3 linked regions of the Macaca fascicularis genome follow. The protein of the gene in region 3 binds, or shares a complex with, the protein of the main gene of each other region. Links are inferred from orthologs where the notes say so. Each region holds a gene or a part of one and is shown on either strand. Other genes may lie near its edges. The genes, in order: STX8, CPLX1 and VAMP2.

Region 1 (6,270 bases), about 1.4 Mb from region 3:
TAGCCGGGGATAGTGAGTGGCTGGTGCCTGTAGTCCTAGCTACCCGGGAGGCTGAGGCAGGAGAATGGCGTGAACCCCGGAGGCGGAGCTTGCAGTGAGCTGAGATAGCGCCACTGCACTCCAGCCTGGACGACAGAGCAAGACTCCATCTCAAAAAACAAACAAACAAACAAAAAAAATAAAGAATATACATTATCATAAAGCCACCAAGGTAAAAACAATTTGATCATATGGGGTCATTCTAAAAGGTAAAGAAAATCAGTAACTGCCATGGAAGACATTTACCATACGTTTGCGCTTGGAACTCTACAACCACAGCACGAATTCAGTTGTAGAGTTTTCTTGTTTTGTTTTGTTTTGTTTTTGAGACAGAGTCTCCCTCAGTCGCCCAGGCTGGAGTGCAGCTGCGCGATCTCGGCTCACTGCAGCCTCCACCTCCCGGGTTCAAGCGATTCTCCTGCCTCAGCCTCCTGATTAGCTGGGATTACAGGTGCCCGCCACCACGCCCGGCTAATTTTTGTACTTTTAGTAGAGATGAGGTTTCACCATGTTGACCAGGCTGGTCTCGAACTCCTGACCTCAAGTGATCCACCGCCTCGGCCTCCCAAAGTGCTGGGATAACAGGCATGAGCCACTGCCCCTGGCCTCAGTTGCAGAGTTCTCTGTGTGTGGTTCTATATTGGCTTAACAAATGACGCTTTGCAACTCACTGTAGGCTGCTCAATTCTTTCTCAATGATGTTGTAACCAGCTCTCAAGATATCTAATGTCCGAAATGTATAAAGCACTCACTTTCTATCGGAGACTGTTAAAGTAAAACCAAGAGTCAAGAGCTAAGTCCTAGAGTACGCTTAAAACTTTAAACAGTGATTGTTCGGCATCCACATTCTTAAAGCTTTCAGGCATCACAACACACATTTTTGAAAAGTTTTGTTTCTCCTAAAATCATTCATTGTTTTCTCATCCCTCAAAAAACCAAAACCCCTCAAAACGAACAATAAAACCCCACAGCTTTTCCCTCCCAGAATCTTCAAAACAATAGGCAGTCACAAATAAGATTTCAGCGGAGTGTCCCAGACCCTTTTTCTCTCCGCTTCAGCTCCCCCTGACGTCCCCTTCCCTTCTGTCCTGGTCTGAAATCCTCACCATTTAGAAACCTTCCTTAAGATTAGAGGACCAAGATCATCCCTCAGGGGGTTGCTCAAACACACGTTCCGTCCTAGCCCCTTCTCACGGGTACGCCAGTTGGGATTTTAGCAGATTTCCTAGCTAGTCCCGGGGCCGACACAGACAGCATCCTTCTGTGTGGTTACGAAGGAGCCTAGGGCTTTGTGGGCGGCGTAGAGCTCAGAGCCAGGAAGGGCTGACCTAGTGGCAGAAGGGTTACAACCACCCGTACCCATCCGGCCCGCCTGGGGAGGAGGCATTTGGTCCCTTTTAGGAGCTGGCGCTTGTCAGAGCTGGTAAAAACCATCCCACTCCCTGAGGCTCTCGGATCGAGGAAGTGACTCTCCAAGGCCTTGGGGAGGGTCAGGCTATGCGGGTCCTCCGTGTGTGTCCCTGCCCAGGGCTCCTGCCGTTGTCCCACACTGAATTTCAGGTGTCCCCGGTGTCTCACTATTCCTGTTTGCACTACAGGTCCTCCGAGTTCCTAAACCAGCCAGCCCAAAGATGCTGGAGGCCTCACCATTGAAGCCGATCACGGCGTCAAGTTCCAGCTCCGCCACTTGGGCCTCCGGCGAAATTTTGTTATCCATCCCTGGGAGGTTCTGCTTACTTTGCTCTCCGCCCTAGTGGGTGCAGCGTCTTCTGGTCGTTATGGTAACGGACGAGCGCATGCGCGCCAGCTCCACGCCCGCGCAGAAACCCAGCCTGCCGAATTCGAGTTCATTAGCATTCTTGGAAATGAAGGGAGATAGGGACTGGGAGGGAGATAGGGTGGGATTCATCTTTTTTGTGTCTGCTGTTTCTCTGGAAATTTAGGAGATGGCACTAACTGCACAGAACTAATTCCTCCATCCCCTCGTGTTGAGTCTGTGACTTCTTAGTAACTCTAAAATCAAGCACCAAATGAATGGCATTTTTAAAAATATGTAATCAAGCATAGAGGACTGATGGGAAGGCTGCTATAAAATAAATAAATACATAAATATATATATAAAATTGATACTTCTTTGGGCCCCTGTTTAAAGCAGCGTGAAAAAATATTTTAAATATATTTTTAAAAAGCGTTATTGAGGTATAATTTACATATCATAAAGTTAACTTAAAGTAGGTTGTAGTAAGTTTACGAAGTGTGCAAGTCGCACCGCAATCTAGTGTTTTGTTTGTTGTTTTGTTTTTTTGAAGCAGGATAAATTTTTAAGTAACTGCTACGGAGGTCTTGCAAGCGCTCCCACCTTCCTGGGAAAATGGTTAGTTTCTATTTAACAATTTTAACTGAGCTCAGCTGTTCGCGTCTCTTAGTGGGAGTAGATTGCGCCAGCCAACTGTTCCCAGGGGAGCACTTTCCTTTCTCTGATCATGGTTCTTAGGCTCTAGTTATTCACTTTGCAAACTCCAGGCTCCGGTCGCGCACGGGACGAACTGCGGGGAGTGAGCCGTGCGGGCCGCCGTAGTCAGCTGCTAAGAGCAGGAAGAGTCCGAGCGGCGGGCGGAGTCTGCAGGATGGCACCGGACCCCTGGTGAGCCCAGGGTGAGGGTGGCGGTGCGCGGAGGGACCTTCGGGGAAGCCGGGCTTCCGGGGAGCAGGCGATCACTTCGCATTGCCCCTGGAGGCCTTTCGAGATGAGGGGAGGGGCAGCGAGACCCTTCCTCTACTGAGGGGACTCAGCCACATCCCGCCACCCTTGGTCCTTCCAAGGGTAGCTGGGGAAGGAGACCGGGTGGTCAGCTGGAGAGCTGAGGATTTGAGCCAAATCTCTGAATATTTCTCTAGCTTTTCTGGGCTGCATCTCGCTGCGGGGATTTCCCGCCCATCCTGGTTGTGGAGCTGGCCGGTGCAGGCTTCCTTGGACTCCTATAAAAGTGAAGTCGAAATAACCTTTTTGTAGCATGTCTGTCCATCTCGGTAAACCCCCTTATTTCACAGGTGGAGAAACCGAGGTTCAGAATCCATGGTCACCAGCCAGTTAGTAACCAGCTGGGTCTAAGACCTAGATCCTGGGGGCCCTTCCAGATACAGGAACCTGGGAGGGAAATTGTGCGCTTGTTTATAAGGCATTTTGCACTTTCTTGAGTTAATATCATGAAGTCTTTTCCTTTAGCAGTAGCTTCTGCAGTAAAACAATAGGTGATAAGGGTCATTTATTTAGCAGTCAATCCCAAGGACTGCTTGATGAAAGATGTAACTTTTGATCTCAAGGAACATATTGTTTGATCCCAAGGAACATATTGTTATTGAACATAGACTTGACCTTTCTGCTTAATAATTAAAAACATTACAGCTCTATAACGTTCTTGTTGGAATATATGTCTTATGTTGTTATTTCTAATATAGTTTATAATTCTTTAAGTTACCCTCAGCCTGGATGTTAGAAGAATGGGTTCCAAGAACAAAGTTGAGTTACCTGGAATCTAGGTTATTTGGGTCAATTATTTAATTTAGCATTGACCTTTTTAGACCTAATTTTAGGCCGGACGCGGTGGTGGCTCACGCCTGTAATCCCAGTACTTTGGGAGACCGACGCAGGTGGATCACCTGAGGTCGGGAGTTCGAGACCAGCCTGACCAACATGGAGAAACCCCCTCTCTACTAAAGATTACAAAATCAGCTGGGCGTGGTGGTGGGTGCCTGTAATCCCAGCTACTCAGGAGACTGAGGCAGGAGAATCGCTTGAACCCGAGAGATGTAGGTTGTGGTGAGCTGACATAGCGCCATTGCACTCCAGCCTGGGCAACAAGTGCGAAACTCCGCCTCAAAAAAAAAAAAAAAAAAAAAAAAAACCAAAAAACCCAAATCCCTAATTTTAACAGTTATATACACCCCTTGATAGAGAATATCTAATTTAGAGAATATTGAAAATTTGCAGAGGAAAATAAATAGCATCTTTAACTCTATAATTTGGAAATAGCCATTGTTTAATTTTTAACAATGAATTTGTTACTTTAATCTGTATTTTATATATAGTAAAACAGCATTTCTCTATGTCATTGGACATTCTTTGAAAACATAATTTTCTTTCTCTCTCTTTTTTTTTTTTTTTGAGATGGAGTCTTGCTCTGTCACCCAGGCTGGAGTGCAATGGCATGATCTTGGCTCACTGCAACCTCCACCTCCCGGGTTCAAGCAACTCTCCTGCCTCAGCTTCCAGAGTAGCTGGAACTACAGGCTCATGCTGCCACACCCAGCTAATTTTTTGTATTTTAGTAGAGACAGGGTTTCGCGGTGTTGCCCAGGCTGATCTCGAATTCCTGAGCTCAGGCAATCTGCGTGCCTCGGCCTCCCAAAGTGCTGTGATTACAGGTGTGAGCCACCACACCCGGCCTCATAATTTTCTAATGTTGCATAATAATGCATCACATGAATGACCATAATTTATTTTTCTCCTCATATTAGTTTTTTGGTTTTTTGATGTTTTGTTTTGTTTTATGATTGCAAAGGCAGTTCCTTTGTTCCATCTCTTATTTCCTTGGGCTCCCTGTCTAGAAGTAGGAATTAGAACTGTTGAAAGTGAAAGCATTTATTTTTTTTTTTGTTATTCTCAATTAGTTTGACTAAGTGGCTTTCTCATTAGATTGTTGAAAGTGAGGGCTGAAGGGTACGAACATTTTTAAGGCCCTTGATACTGTGAACCCCAAAGTATCTGAGACAGGACTCAATCAATTTAGAAAGTTTATTTTGCCAAGGTTAAGAATGCACCCGTGTGGATCACGAGGTCAGGAGTTCGAGACCAGCCTGGCCAACATGGTGAAACCCCGTCTCTACTAAAAATACAAAAAAAATTAGCTGAGCGTGGAGGCACGCGCTGTAATCCTAGCTACTTGGGAGGCTGAGGCAGGAGAATCGCTTGAACCTGGGAGGCAGAGGTTGCAGTGAGCCGAGATTGCGCCACTGCACTCCAGTCTGGGCGATAGGGCGATACTCTGTCTCAAAAAAAAAAATAATAATAATAATAACAAATGCACCCGTGACACAGCCTCAGGAGGTTCTGAAGACCTGTGCCCAAGGTGGTTGGGGAACAGCTTGCTTTTATACAATTTAGGAAGAATAATACATGAGTTAATACATGTGAGATTTATGATGGCTCAATCCAGAAGGGCGGGACACCTTGAAGGGGGTGGGGGAGGCTTCAAGGTCATAAGTAGTTTGAAAAATTTTCTGATTGGCAATTGGTTGACTTATTATCAATAGAAAGGAATGTCTGGGTTATGATAAGGGGTAGTGGAGACCAAGATTTTATCATGCAAATGAAGCCTCTGGGTAGCAGGCTTTAGAGAGAATAGATTGTAAATGTTTCTTATCAGACTTAAGACCTGTTTCAGGTTAACTTTGGAATGCCCTTGCCTGGGGGGTGGGATCCATGCAGATGGTTTATTTTTGGTTTACAATACATATTCCTAAATTGCCCTCCACCTTCTTTAAAAACCTATAAAAGGCCAGGTGCGGTGGCTCATGCCTGTAATCCCAGCACTCTGGGAGGCTGAGGCAGGCAGATCACAAGGTCAGGAGTTTGAGACCAGCCTGACCAACGTGATGAAACCCCCTCTTTACTAAAAATGCGAAAATTAGCTGGGCATGGTGGTGCACGCCTGTAATACCAGCTACTCAGGAGGCTGAGGCAGGAGAATCACTTGAACCTGGGAGGCAGATGTGCAGTGAGCTGAGATCGCACCACTGCACTCCAGCCTAGGTGACAGAGTGAGACTCCATGTCAAAACAAAGCAAAACAAACAAACAAACAAAAAACCTATAAAAACAGATTCAACTACAGTTTTACCTTTGTGTTGCTAAAGTCATAGGTCATTGGCACCTCCCTCAGTGTTTAGAAATGGAATAGAGCAGTTACTATTTTAATGGCCTATCAAAACAAGTGGTAAGCTGGCTGTTTAACAGAAGTAGCACATGATACTGTCTCTAAACTGGTTCTTTGCTAATGTTAATTAGCTTTACCGTCAGGGTAACTTATTTGTTGATGATATACCGTTTCCAGAAAAATTACACTTAAACCTTAATAGTTTTATATTCCTGACTGGACTTTTTATGTTGGTAGCATGGTCTTCTTTTTGTTGATTTGCTTTTTAAAAACTTTATTTTGGAAGGTAAAAGATA
Region 2 (6,270 bases), on a different chromosome or scaffold from region 3:
CAGAGAAAGAAGAGACAGAGACACAGAGATAGAGACTGAGACAGGCAAAAAGACACAGAGACAGATACAGTGACAGGGAAAGACGGAGACAGAGACAGAAAGATAGAGACAGAGAGACAGGCAGAAAGACACAGAGACAGAGAGATACAGCGACAGAGAAAGAGACAGAGAGAGAGAGGCAGAGGAAGACCGGGCAGAACGTAAGGCTGACAGAGGGTCTCTGTCCTCCGTGCCCCAGGCCCCAGCTCCCGGTGTGCTTGGAGCGCAGCCTGGCCTGGGTTACAGAACTGGAGAGGAGTCAGCCTAGGAGTCCAGTGCTGAAGCTCAGACCCCCGGACCCTTCTGCTGGGAGGAGCCTGCACTCCCTGCACCCCTATGCAGACTGCCCCAAAGGCACCAGCATCTCCCCTGCATGCAGCTTGCGCAGGTGGCAGGGTCAGTCGTGAGCCTGGCTCTGGGCTCAAGGGGTCCTCTCTGGGGTCACTGTCGGGGTGAGCTGTTGGGTTACCCACCCAGTTAGGGACGGAGGGAGAAAGTGCCAGGGCCAAGCAGCGACCTCTTTCCTGGACCCAAACATCTCACCCTTGCTGTCCCCTCCCAGGTCCTGAGGAGGCAGACTGAGCAGACCAGGCTGGGGCTCAGGTCAGGCCTCCAGGCATCGGGAAACAGAGAGTCCACTCCATAGCGTATCCAGCTGGAGGTGTGTGAGGACTGAGGCCTCGGACAAGGGGAGGTGGAGATGACCTGAAGGGCCATTGGGGGTCCAGGGGTCGCTGACAGGAAGGGGCCTGGGTGTACGTCCTGCCTCCTGTCCCTGGGCCCAACCTTCTGAGCCCACTTGGCTCAGATCCAAGGAGAGAGGAAGGGACGGTGCTGGGGGTGCCCACGCCAGGGAGGCTGAAGAGACCCCAGTCCTAGGGCATAGGTCCCCCTCCAGGAGGTTGCCTGTGAACCCCCAGGCCCATGCCCCTTCTCACTGCCTCTGGGAGCTCCCGTGGGCTCGGCCCTGGTGCCATCACCCTTCCCTCTCCCCCAGTGCTCCCTTCCTCTGCGGGGGATCCCCTGCCAGGTCAGCAGAGGAGTGGGGACGGGGCAGAGGCGCTGGGGCCAAGGCTGGGGGGTCCAGGCTTCTGAGTCCTCCTGAGCTCAGGCTAAACACGGGACACCGGAGGGGATGGGGCTGAGGGCGGGGGAGACACCGCATCCTCCCAGCGCCAGCGGACTCCCTGGGACTCAGCCGGGAGGGGACACTGACAAGTTAATGTGGCGGCCACCGGCAGCGGCCCCCACTCTCCACCCACCCCCACTCACCACCAGGAGCACAGGGCAGCTCTAGGGTCCCGGTGCGCCCCATCCCTCCCGCCACCCGGCGCCCGACATTGCACAGCAGGGACCCGACCGCAGGGCGGACCAGACCGAGAGCCGACCTTGCGGCGACCCTGCTCTCCCGCAGTGCCGCGTCGCCGCAGAGGAAATCCTGGGGGCCGGGGGAGGGGGCGGTGGGGTCTCCAGCCTTCGTCCCGCTAAAGGAAACAGCGACTCTGTTACACTGAAAGTCAGCCCAGGCCGACCTGCGGATCTCCCGCGGCGAGGGGCTTGGTGGGTTTTCAGGGGTCTGGGGGCCCCCTTCTCCCGCCCTGCGATGCGGGGAGGTCCGGGCAGAGGGCTCGGGGCGGCGGGCGGCGCTCAGGGGCACGGTCCCCGGAGAATGGGGGGGCAGCGACTCCCCCTAACCCCTGACCCCTCCGCCCGGGAGGCAGCGACTTCTCCGCCCGAGGGTTTCGCACCCATCGGCCCGGTGCGGACCCTGTAGGGAGCAGGCCCGCATGGTCGCCCGCATGGTCGGGCTCGGGGCGCGGGGGCAGGGCCGGGGGCGCCCAGATCAGGGGCGGGCAGGGGTCGCAGGCCCAGGCCGGGGAAGGTCGCACCCGGGCGGGGTTGGAAGGAGACGGGGGCGCTTCACTCGGATCCACCCCCGCTCCCGCCCCGCCCCCGCCCCCGCCCGGCGCCCGCGGCCCCGCCCCTCGGCGCTCCCCTCCCCCTGCTCGTCACGCTCGGACGCGGGCGGGGGGCGGGGAGCGCCTCCGAGTGACGCGCCCTCCTCGCTGTGCCCTTCAGCCGCCGCCGCAGCTCACCGGGCGCCACATGGACCCAGCCGGCCCGAGCGCGCCCCGCCGCTGACCGCCTGCGCCCCGGGAAGGTAACCGCGCCCCGAGCGCAGCGCCCGCCCGGTCTCCGCTCCCCGGGTCTCCCCCCGGCGCCGGTTTCTCCTCCCCGGCCCCGGCTTCTCCCCGCTTTTTCCCCCGGCCCCGGTTTCTCTTCCCCGGCCCCGGCTTCTCCCCTCTTCTCCCCCGGCCCCGGTTTCTCCTCTCCGGCCCCCGCTTCTCCCTCCGGCCCCGGCTTCTCTTCCCCGGCCCCCGTTTCTCCCCCCGGCCCCGGCTTCTCCTCCCCGGCCACCGCTTCTCCCCGCGGCCCCGGCTTCGCCCCGCGTCTCCCCCCGGCCTCCACTCCCCGGGTCTCTCCTCCACGGCCCCGGCTTCTCCCCCTCGCCCCGGCCTCTTCCCCCGGTCCCCGTTTCTCCCCCCGTCCCCGGCTTCTCCCTGCGGCCCCCGCTTTTCTCCCGGGCTCCGCGCGCGCTGGGTCCGGGGCGGGCGCTGTCCACTGCCGCGGTGCTGAAGCGGCCCCCGCGGTCCCGGCCCGTGCCCGGCCTCCTCCTCGCTTCTTCCTGTCTCCGAGGCTCCCCCTCTCCTCCCTCGCCCTCTTTCTTTCCTCTCCTGGCGCGCTCCCGCCTGAGGGCCGCTCGCCCGCCCGCAAAGCCGAAGGGTGCGGGTGCGGCGGGGCTGGAGCCCTGCGGGTGTGCGGGGCCCGGCAGTGCCCTTCTTCCCCGCGCCGCGGGAGCCAGGGGAGAAGTTTGGAGGAGAATCGGCGCTGCGGCAAAGGCTCCGAGGGGCGCTCCCCACCCGCCGCCCTCCCAGTCCGCGCGCGAGTCTCCTTCCTCTGCGGAGAGCGGGGGGGTGAACCGTCTAACAGTGTCTCTCCAGGGACCTGTGTTTCCCTGACAGGAGAGACCCCACAAACGCGGGGGGCGCACTGCGGCTGCTGTGATTTCAGAAAGCGCTTCCCAAGAGGGGACCAGAGCGCCCCACCCCACCCCATGCACATCTCGGGAGGCGGGAGTGCTCGGTCCCCGTTCCCATGTGTTCCCGGAAGGCTGATCCCCCTGAAGTTTCTCCCCAACCCCGATCTCTTCTACGTGGGTCATGTGGGGGACACACTGACTGCAGTGCCATCAGGGATAGGGTGACCCAAGCCTGCCTGGTCAGAAGCCACAGGAGCCCGCCCTGAAGGGCAGCCGCTCAAAGACCCACCCCCAACCCTTCTCCACTGCCCTGGGCTCCGGACCACCAAGGAGGCGCTGCTCCAGACACGGAGCTGCAGAGCAGAGCAGTCACCTTCAAACGCCCCCTGGGCCCCGCCCCTGCTTCCGCAGCCTGGCGCCAGGCGCCTCTGAGCGTTACCCCCTAAGCTGTCAGCAGCCCTCCCTGCAGGGGCTTCAGACACCCCAGGAGCTGGGGAGACCACTTTCAGGTCCTCTGGGGTCCTGGTTTGGGTGTGGGGACAGAAACCCCTCACGAACGGACTTCCCAAGCAGCCGCTCCTGGTGGGGAGGGTCCAGCCCACAAGGTATTAGGGGGACACGAATGATGGTCTCTGGGGAAGGCCAGGCAGAGGCCTGCTCAGGGTGACCCGTGACCACTTCACTCTCCCCCAGGAAGAACACTCACTCCTGGCCACACTCGCATGTGAGTTCTGACCCTTGGAGGAGCCGCTGTGGAATCAGAGCAATCGCCATGGAGTTCGTGATGAAGCAGGCCCTGGGAGGTAGGAAGCAGGAGGTGGGGTGGGGAGGGGCTGAGGGGCCGGGCCGCTGGGACAGGCAGACATGGAGAGACCACCACACCAGCTGCTCCTCAAGCGGTCCACCGCAGCAGCGCCACGGCAGCCACACAGCCACCAACTGTGTGGAGGAGCCTGGGGCCTGGGGCAGAGGAGCAAGGACCGTGCCCAGCAGCGCCTGGGGCAGAGGAGCAAGGACCGTGCCCTGCAGCGCCCCCAGCCCGGCCCTTTTCGTGTCCCTGAGACAGAACTGGTGTCCCTGGCGGGATAGGGGCTGCCCTGTAAGCTCACTCTGCCCCGCTGCTGTGGTCGGGGCAGAGCCCATGGACCACGCTGATGCAGGTCCTAGGGGAGGGTGGACACCCTGGTGTAGGCTTTGCAGGGCCAATTCTAAGTGGCCAGGCTAGGCAGCCCCCAAGGGGGCTTCCTTTGGGTGAGGAGGGCCCAGCGGTGGGAGAGCAGGATGCAGGCGGCGGCCTCAGGGACAGGTGTGGGGACAGAGCTGGCCTGTGCATTTGGTGAGGACTCTGTGGGTTTCACTTGGGTGAGGCAGTGCTGTCCTCAGGGAGCCAGGGCTTGCTGGTTACAGGAGCAAAGGAAAAGGCCCAGAACAACTTGTGTGTCTTGACCGCCTCCCAGGAGGGACGTGCAGCCTTTTTTGTGTGTACTGGGGTGGGGGCAGGCCCCCTTCCAACCTGCTGTCTGCTATTTGAAAGGAACCTCGTCCCCACTTCATTGTGGCCAGAGACCATGCCAAGGGCAGCGGCTAAGTCCCTAGTCCAGGAGGTGGGCAGAGCCTGGGCCATACTGGTACAGACATGTCCCAGCAGAGCTGATGGGGTCAACTTAGGCCTCAGGGCTGTCCTGGCGAGTCTCAGTTTTGCTCAGAGCCATCCATCTTATGTTCCCCCAGCTCCTTGGTGCAGCACCAGTGCCCAGAACTCCTGTGAAGGGAACCTGTGGCCAGTGCCCGATTCTACCACTGGAGACACCTTACTTGGGTGGCCTCCACAGGGGAGTATCCTGACCTGATGCCGTTCACACCTTGGTGTGAGTCAGGCCGCCTGGAGCATTTCTGCAGTGGGGGAGCCAGCTGGGTTCGAGGGGCCAGGGACAAGGGTGGACAGAGGGCAGGTGCCGCTTCCCCCAGGACAGGAGCTGCCTGCCTGGCTGTCTCCTGGTGGGTGACTGTGCTTCCACTCAGCACAAATTAAATGAAAAGATGTTGAGCCTGGCCTGGGGCCACATCCTGGAGATTTCGTGGTCAAGGGTAAGCTGCAGGTTGAGTCTAATTATAATGATTGCGTCACCGGGCCGTGATTCAGGGACTAGCCTGCATCTGCGCTGGGAGGGACGCACGTTCCACCCCGGGAGTCCCAGACTGTTACAGATAATTAATTAGGTGGCTAATTCAGGCCCTGAGGTGGGCTTGTAAGAAAACTGAAATATCTTATTTGGCTGTCTGCATGACTGAAATTAGCTGGGTAATTACCAGCCTGAATTCCCTTTTTGTTTCATGGCAGCCCAAAGTTTCTCCTGCAGCAGCAACGGGGCAGGCATCACTCAGCGTGGTGGAGCTGAGAGGGGGCAGCCGGCGGACCCCAGGGGGTTCCACGCTGAGTGCTGCCTAGAGCACCCCACATTGGCTTTGCAGAGCACGTGAGGCTCGGAGCCAGCACTGCTGAGGGTGGGAGCTGGTGGGGGTTCCCAGGCGAGACCTTGTTTTCTGCCTCTGTGCCTCTGTCCCTTACCCGGCGAGCCTCATCGTTGCTGTCTCAGGATGCGTGTGAGTGAGACAGAGTGAGACAGAGATGGAAAATGGGGGGACCTCCAGACAGCACGACAGAGCTTGGCAGAGACCCCAAGAGAAGTACTGAGAAACACACCAAGCCCCGGACACAAAGAAACTGGCAGGTGAGGGAGCAGGAGGCACCCGGGAAGCCGTTCAGAGAGAGGCAAACCCAGAAACAGGGTCAGGGAGGGGGGAGCTGGAGAAAGAAAATGACAGCCCAGAAACAGAGACAGAGAAAAAGACAAATGTGTTATTCAGCACGCACAGGGCCAGACAGGTGAAAACAGAAGGCACGTCAGAGACAGAGAGGGGGGGAGACAGAGGCAGAGAGAGGGGGAGACAGTGGGGAGAGGGAGAGACAGAGAGAGGGAGAGACAGAGACAGAGGGAGAGACAGACAGAGGGAGAGACAGAGGGAGGGAGAGACAGAGAGAGGGAGAGACAGTGGGGAGAGGGAGAGACAGAGAGAGGGAGAGACAGAGAGAGGGAGAGACAGAGAGAGGGAGAGACAGAGACAGAGGGAGAGACAGACAGAGGGAGAGACAGAGAGAGGGAGAGACACAGAGAGGGAGAGACAGTGGG
Region 3 (6,270 bases):
TACCTTCCGATCCAATATTCTTCTCATTGGTTAAGAAAATATCTTATTCTCCCCGCACCAAAAAAAAAAAAAAAAAAAAATAGAAAAAATAAAAAAGATCTTAGAACAGACAACACTTGGTTACTCATTACACATTTATTGTACATTTTCACAATCTGGATGCGCCACAGAATTGGGGGCATGGGGTGGGGGAAGAAGGGGGCAGGGGACACTGGGATAATATGGGGGGTCTAGAACACAGCACCCCCGCCCCCAGCATCTCTCCTACCCTTTCACACCACAGCTTAGATATCCCTGCTCCCCCTCCACACAGAAAACCTCAAGTGTGGGGGGAAGAAAGTTTGGGGGCCCCCTCCCGTGGCAGGTTAAGGGACTGTACCCTCAGACCCTTAAAATTGTGCCATTTAAAAAGACAATAGACCCTTCCTCAATCACTTCACCCAATGAAAAGACAGCTCTCTCTGGGCTCAATAGCCCTGGAGAGGGGCAAGCATCCCCATATTCCAGCAAGTCCCATGCACACATTGGCAGTGACTAGTACCCCACCCTAAATTCGGGGGTGGGGGAAGTCAGAGGAGCTGGGAAGTGATGGGGGCAACACCCCCCAAATTGAGGAGGAGGGTTTTCAGTCCTGCCCCCAGCAGGGGTGAGGCCAGAGATTTCAGGCAGGAATTGGGGGGATTCTCTGCCCTGCCCCACTCCTCCCCAAGGCAGTGATGACCCCCCACACACTGGTAGCCACCCCTCCCAAAAGAGATCAATTGTGGCCAACCCCCAACTCTCCTAGTGGGAGGAGGAGGTGGATCAGGCAGATGGGAGGGAAACCCCATGGGAATGTCAGTTGAGTGCCCCACATGAAAACTGGGGAGCAGGAATGTGGGGAGAATCCCCAAGTGGCAGAATTATTGGTCCATCATAACATACTGAACTCCAAGACACTTACATACCAGCTGGGGGAGGGAGAGGGTACAAGAGGTTTGGAAAATGAGGGTAAGGGAGGCAAACTGGACTAGAAGAGCTAGGAAGAGGCAATGCTGGAGGACAGAGCAGCCTGGTCCCCCAAAAGCCCAGGCTCCCCACCATCTGCAAGTAATGTCGTGCAAATGAAAATGTGATACAAGGACTAATGGGGACTAACTCCTCAGTAAAAAAAGAAACACCAGTTGAGAGAAGAGTGATGGAACAAAAAGAAATGGAAAGGGATGGCAGTATGTAATGATACGCTACTTAACATGCTGGACACTCCCAAAGACCTTGGGATTCTTAGGACCAAGTGGGGCCAGTCTCAGAGCCTCCCATTGGATGCAAACAAGATGCACCTAAGGAAGCCTGGACAGATGCTTTTTGTTTTTTGTGGTCTTTTTTGAGGGCGGGGCAGAGGGAGCATGACCGGGAGAGGGAGGAGGAAAGGAAGGCCAGGGTGGGGGGAAGGATCAGCTAAATCTGAGGGAAGAAGAAGGAGAGGAGAGGGACTATTGCATAGCAGATGCAAATGAAGGGACTTGGGGCTAGTCAGGAAGAAAGGGAAAGGGAAGGCAGGCAAGAGAGAGGAGGTGAAGGGAACCTCAGGAAGGGGTGTTAAGGACAACCAGAAAAATCTTCTAGTAATAAAACTACAAACAGACCAAATATATATAATATTATATATGTATAAATAACAGCTGGCTATTTACAGGGGGACACACACACGGACACACACACGCACGGATCCAGGGAAGGGGGGCTGAAAGATATGGCTGAGAGGTGGAGGAACGGCTGAGGGTGGGGGGAGAGGCCCTTCTTTAGGCAGGGCAGACTCCTCAGGGATTTAAGTGCTGAAGTAAACTGTGGAGAGAGGGGAAGAAGATGAGGAAGAGGGAGAGGGGAGGGAGAGAGGGAGAAAGAAAGAAAGCAGTGTGTCAGGCCTGGCCCTGCTCCAATCCTCCCCACTCCCCAGCTGGCTGGCACCCCTACCCCTCTCTTGGACTCAGTTTCTCCATCTACAAAGCAAGGGGTTAGACAGGTAGGTTATGAGGTCCCTTCAGTTCCATGGTATGGCCTTGAGGCCACATACCCTAATCCTCTGAGCCTGAGGCCACAAGCTCTCAAATAATGGGGTGGTTGGCTTCCTGGTCATGTCTCAAGCCCCTGGGCCTTTCCTTTCTCCCACTCCTCAATTCCAGGGCTCTCAGATTGGGCTCTTAGGCCCAAAGGGTCCTCAATGGATACACCAACTTTTATATTTCTAAATGTTAACAAAACTGCCAAGAACCAGGCAAAATGCAGGCTAAATAACATCAAAGTTTTTGGCTCTAGGTGAATCAGAATTGCCATTAGCAGCTATATGTGTTTTTGGCTGAAGAGTAAAAACTAGGTTAATGACCTTCAAAACCCAGAATCCACTGGGGAAACCTCTCCAGGGAAAGGGCCCCGGCCATTGCCAGCCTACTCACCTATGATGATGATGAGGATGATGGCGCAAATCACTCCCAAGATGATCATCATCTGGGGGTGAGAGGAGAGGATCAGCGAGACTAACTATGATACCCCATTCACCCGCCAGTCCTCCTTCCTGTCCCCATCCTTACCTTGAGGTTTTTCCACCAGTATTTGCGCTTGAGCTTGGCTGCACTTGTTTCAAACTGGGAGGCCCCTGCCTGGAGTGCATCTGCACGGTCGTCCAGCTCCGACAGCTTCTGGTCCCGCTCCAGGACCTTGTCCACGTTCACCCTCATGATGTCCACCACCTGGGAGAAGGGCCCACGGGGCAAGGGGGTGTGCCAAGGCCCACCTCATGAGGGTAATCCTCAAACATGTGCCCACCGTGCCACACATGGAACATGCACCCTGATGCTGCCAGGTTAACATGCCAAGGACACACACAGTACATGCCTAGCACACCTGGGGACATGCAAGGAGCACACATCAGGGGATTACTGGTGACATCTCAGATATCATAGCAACACCCTCCCTCTATGGCGCCTCAGGCGCTCTGTCCATCACCAGAGCACACCTGCCTAGGCTGGCACACCCCAGGCTAGCAAAGCTGATTAACACCCCCAGCACCCTTCCAAGTGCGTGCTGACAGGGAGACACGGATGGGGCAAGGTATCTTTGTCCGCAAACCCACAGGCGTGAACTGTCATCACTCCCAAACCAACATGGGCCCCTACACCTAAACGCCAACCCCCAGGGTCCTTTCTACTGCTTTTGACTCCCCCCACACTCACCTCATCCACCTGGGCCTGGGTCTGCTGCAGTCTCCTGTTACTGGTGAGGTTTGGAGGGGGTGCAGGGGGGCCACCCTCCCCAGCCGGGGCGGCAGGGGGGGCCGTGGCAGCGGTAGCAGACCTGAGGAGCAGGGACGGATTAAGACCCAGGGCCTGCAGTCTCCCGGCCCTGCAGCCAGGGCTCCGCCCATCCACCTGTCCATCCTCGTCCCTCCAGTCCTCCTTTTCGGGAGGAAGGCCACCCGATGGAAGCCCTGGTCCAGGTCCAGCCTCGCCACCGATGAGCTGCGTGACCTTGAGCGAGGCCTCCCCTCCCCCCGGCCTCAGTTTCCCCGCCTGTCAAATGAGGGCGACCTCACAGATGTGATCGGGGTCGACCCGAAAAGACAGGCGGCCGCGGTGACAGGGGCGGGGCGCGGCAGGAGGACACAGGGTCCGCTCCTTCCTGCGGCCATCGCTCGAGCCGGCCAGCCCGAGACGCTGGGCTTCTCGGCCGCCCGCGCGCAGTCACCGGCTTGGGCCTGGCCCCGGGGCGCGGGGAACGCGGGAGAGACCCCGGGCACTCCCCACGGCCGGTTGCCAAGGGCGGCGGCCGGTGCAGGGAAGCGCGGTGAGGGTGGCGGGCGGCCGACTCACATGGTGGGGGCAGCGGGTGGAGGACTTGGCAGCAGCAGTGATGGCGGCGGCAACTCGCGCTGGCTCCGACTGGCGCTGGCTGCCCGGGACGGAAAGATGGCGGCCGCGCGTCACCCGCATCCGGGCACTGCGGGCGGGGGCGGGGCGCCGCGGGCGACGCGTCGGGAGCGGGGCCGCGGGGGCGGGGCGCTGCGGGACTGGGGTCGTGCCCGGCGGGACTGCGGGTCTGGCGCCACCGTGCCCCGGCAGCTCTCTGGGCACTCACGGGACCACCAGGCGGGTTGCTGCGGCTTCCCTAAACCCACCGTCACCCCGCCCTGTCTGAGCACAGCCTTCCACAGCCGCCCCCAAACCTCTTGCCACCTGCCCCTTAGGGCACACAGCAGCCTGGCCCCGCACCTAACCCCCAGACCACTCCCTGAATCGTGAACCCAATAAGCCAGCCTGCATCCCACACAGCCCAAGGTCTCGCCCCGCGCCCAGGTCCCAGCACCTAGCGACCCGCCTTCAGCACTGGGAATGGGCTGGGGTTGGGAAATCAGAGAGGGCCAGTACAGGCGCTGGGGCAATATCGAGAGCGGGGACCCTGCTGCTAGGGTGGAGGGGAGTGGAGGAGGTTGGTCTCAACCCATCACCCCGCTGGTGGATGTCTCAGAGGAAGCCTGCGATCCCAGGCCACTGGGTAGGAGGGTGGGAAGAAAAGATGAGGCAGGCTCTTCCTGCCGAAACAAGTCCCGGGGGTGGAGGACCGGGGAGTGTCTACAGGGTGTGAGGAGGGGGGTGCCCCGCCTCACGATTGAGGTTCAGACCAGGGGTACTTAACAGCTGGAGCAGGCCCGACTGAGGTGGGGTGAGCTGAAGACCCCGAGGAGGAGGGCACAAGGCAGCCGGGGCTGATGGGGGCAGGGGCTGCTTCACGTGGTGGCTGCTGACTGGCCAAGACCTAGCTTTGCCCCAGGCTTGGGTCAGCGACCCCAACTGCAGGAGAGGGCTCAGGCTTTGGTCCCAGGCACAGGGACCAAAAGGCTTTTTTCTCTCTCATTTTTTTTTCTTTAGTAGTAGGCACAGTGGGTACAGTTTACAAGGTGCTGCTTTACATGCGTATTCGCCTCGCAGGTGTGACCTTGGACAGTTGCCGTCCTCTCTCTGGACCCCAAATACATTGCATATGTAGATACTAAATCCATATTCGTTAAATGGCTTGATGTGGATAACATGGAAGATTATCCCTATCTCCATTAGGCCCTCTAAGCACACCCAGAGGCTGTCTACACTCCCACCCAGCTTGTCAGAGAAGATGGGACCAGGGGAGCTGTCGCTCTGGTGGAGTGCAGGGGATCAAAGCAAGCCTCAAGGGTACAGGAGGCATTTTAGGCGAGGCCCTTTGAACCTGGGGTGGGGGTGCTTACTACATCCCTGGAAGGTGCAGGGAGGCTGATGGCCTTGATCTCTGAGACAAACAGGAACCAGCTTCGTCCCTCCCCCACCCTGGCTTCCCAGGGCCTCCGGGTGTGAGATACTCCCCCACTGCAGTGCCCCACTCCCTCCCCACAGAAGCCCGGGGACTGGCTCTGTCACCAGAGGTGTCATTTCCCAGCTGTCTGGGGGAGGTGAGTGAGCAGGGAATGTGTGTGCTGGGTGTGGGAACTCAGCCCAATCTAAGAGAAGATACTCTTGGCTTCCTCCCACTCAGAGGAGCAGCCGCATCCCTGATCCTTGTGCACTGACAGTCCCGGGTGGCTCAGCCTATGTGATGAGAAAGAAAAGAGCAGCTTCCATGGGGGTCTCAGATCATGCTATGGGATGCTGGCTCCTGCTTTTTGGTCTTGAGATGATTCTGCTTTCTAGTCAGAGAACAAAGATGCCAAATTCCAGCCTTTTAAGTTCAAAAGCTTCAGTGTCTGTCTGGTTATAAATAAGACAGGGAGGATTGGAAGAGGCAGGCACAGGAAGCCCTTCCGCCCCCAGTTGGACACCCTGCACTAACTGGGGGGAGCCTAGTGCAGGGCCAGGCAAGACATTTGATGCTGGTTTGGGGGTGATATGGAAGGGACAGAGCCCCAGATACACTGTCAAGGCCAGGGGTCGTGCTATTGCTATTGGATTGTGGGGGCGGCAGCAGCAGAGTAGAAATGAGGGCATGTGTGACCCACGCAGATGAGAGGCCCAGGAGGATTCATCTCAGAGAGGGGGCTCTCACCCAGCAGCCCGTTCCCACCCCACCCCACCTAGGCTGTGGCTCAAAGGAACTCCCCAAGTTTAGATCAATGGTGGAGGTGGGGGAAGGAGTGGGATGACAGTGTTCACCTGGAAGTGACTGAGAGAATGTGTTCTGCAGGCAGGTAGAATAGAGACCCAAATAGAGGGAAGTCAAACGATAGAAAAATAATGTATTTGCGTAACTCAGATTTGGCTTCTTCATGTA

The links.
Region 1: VAMP2 (region 3) and STX8 share a complex: the UniProt entries of both Homo sapiens proteins name them as parts of the SNARE core complex. The link is inferred for Macaca fascicularis from reciprocal best matches to the Homo sapiens genes VAMP2 and STX8.
Region 2: the proteins of VAMP2 (region 3) and CPLX1 are in contact, whole or in part, in a crystal structure (PDB 1KIL), measured with the Rattus norvegicus proteins. The link is inferred for Macaca fascicularis from reciprocal best matches to the Homo sapiens genes VAMP2 and CPLX1. Residues at the interface, in NP_036795.1 of Rattus norvegicus: Arg47, Val50, Asp51, Leu54, Asp57, Gln58, Ser61, Asp64, Asp65, Asp68, Ala69, Gln76; in NP_074055.1 of Rattus norvegicus: Leu41, Arg48, Tyr52, Glu56, Arg59, Glu60, Met62, Arg63, Ile66, Arg67, Tyr70, Gly71, Ile72.

What each region holds. Positions count from the first base shown.
Region 1 is NC_088390.1:9,660,825-9,667,094, reverse strand, and holds the start of STX8 (syntaxin-8), read left to right. Parts: upstream 1-2,643; 5' UTR 2,644-2,666; coding exon 2,667-2,683; intron 2,684-6,270. Other genes in the region: CFAP52 (cilia- and flagella-associated protein 52), read right to left, coding at 1,687-1,756. UniProt on the Homo sapiens protein: Vesicle trafficking protein that functions in the early secretory pathway, possibly by mediating retrograde transport from cis-Golgi membranes to the ER.
Region 2 is NC_088379.1:907,122-913,391, reverse strand, and holds the start of CPLX1 (complexin-1), read left to right. Parts: upstream 1-2,140; 5' UTR 2,141-2,200; intron 2,201-3,772; 5' UTR 3,773-3,851; coding exon 3,852-3,882; intron 3,883-6,270. UniProt on the Homo sapiens protein: Positively regulates a late step in exocytosis of various cytoplasmic vesicles, such as synaptic vesicles and other secretory vesicles.
Region 3 is NC_088390.1:8,245,380-8,251,649, forward strand, and holds VAMP2 (vesicle-associated membrane protein 2), read right to left. Parts: upstream 3,927-6,270; 5' UTR 3,848-3,926; coding exon 3,846-3,847; intron 3,331-3,845; coding exon 3,210-3,330; intron 2,727-3,209; coding exon 2,568-2,726; intron 2,485-2,567; coding exon 2,433-2,484; intron 1,825-2,432; coding exon 1,808-1,824; 3' UTR 117-1,807; downstream 1-116. UniProt on the Homo sapiens protein: Involved in the targeting and/or fusion of transport vesicles to their target membrane. Major SNARE protein of synaptic vesicles which mediates fusion of synaptic vesicles to release neurotransmitters.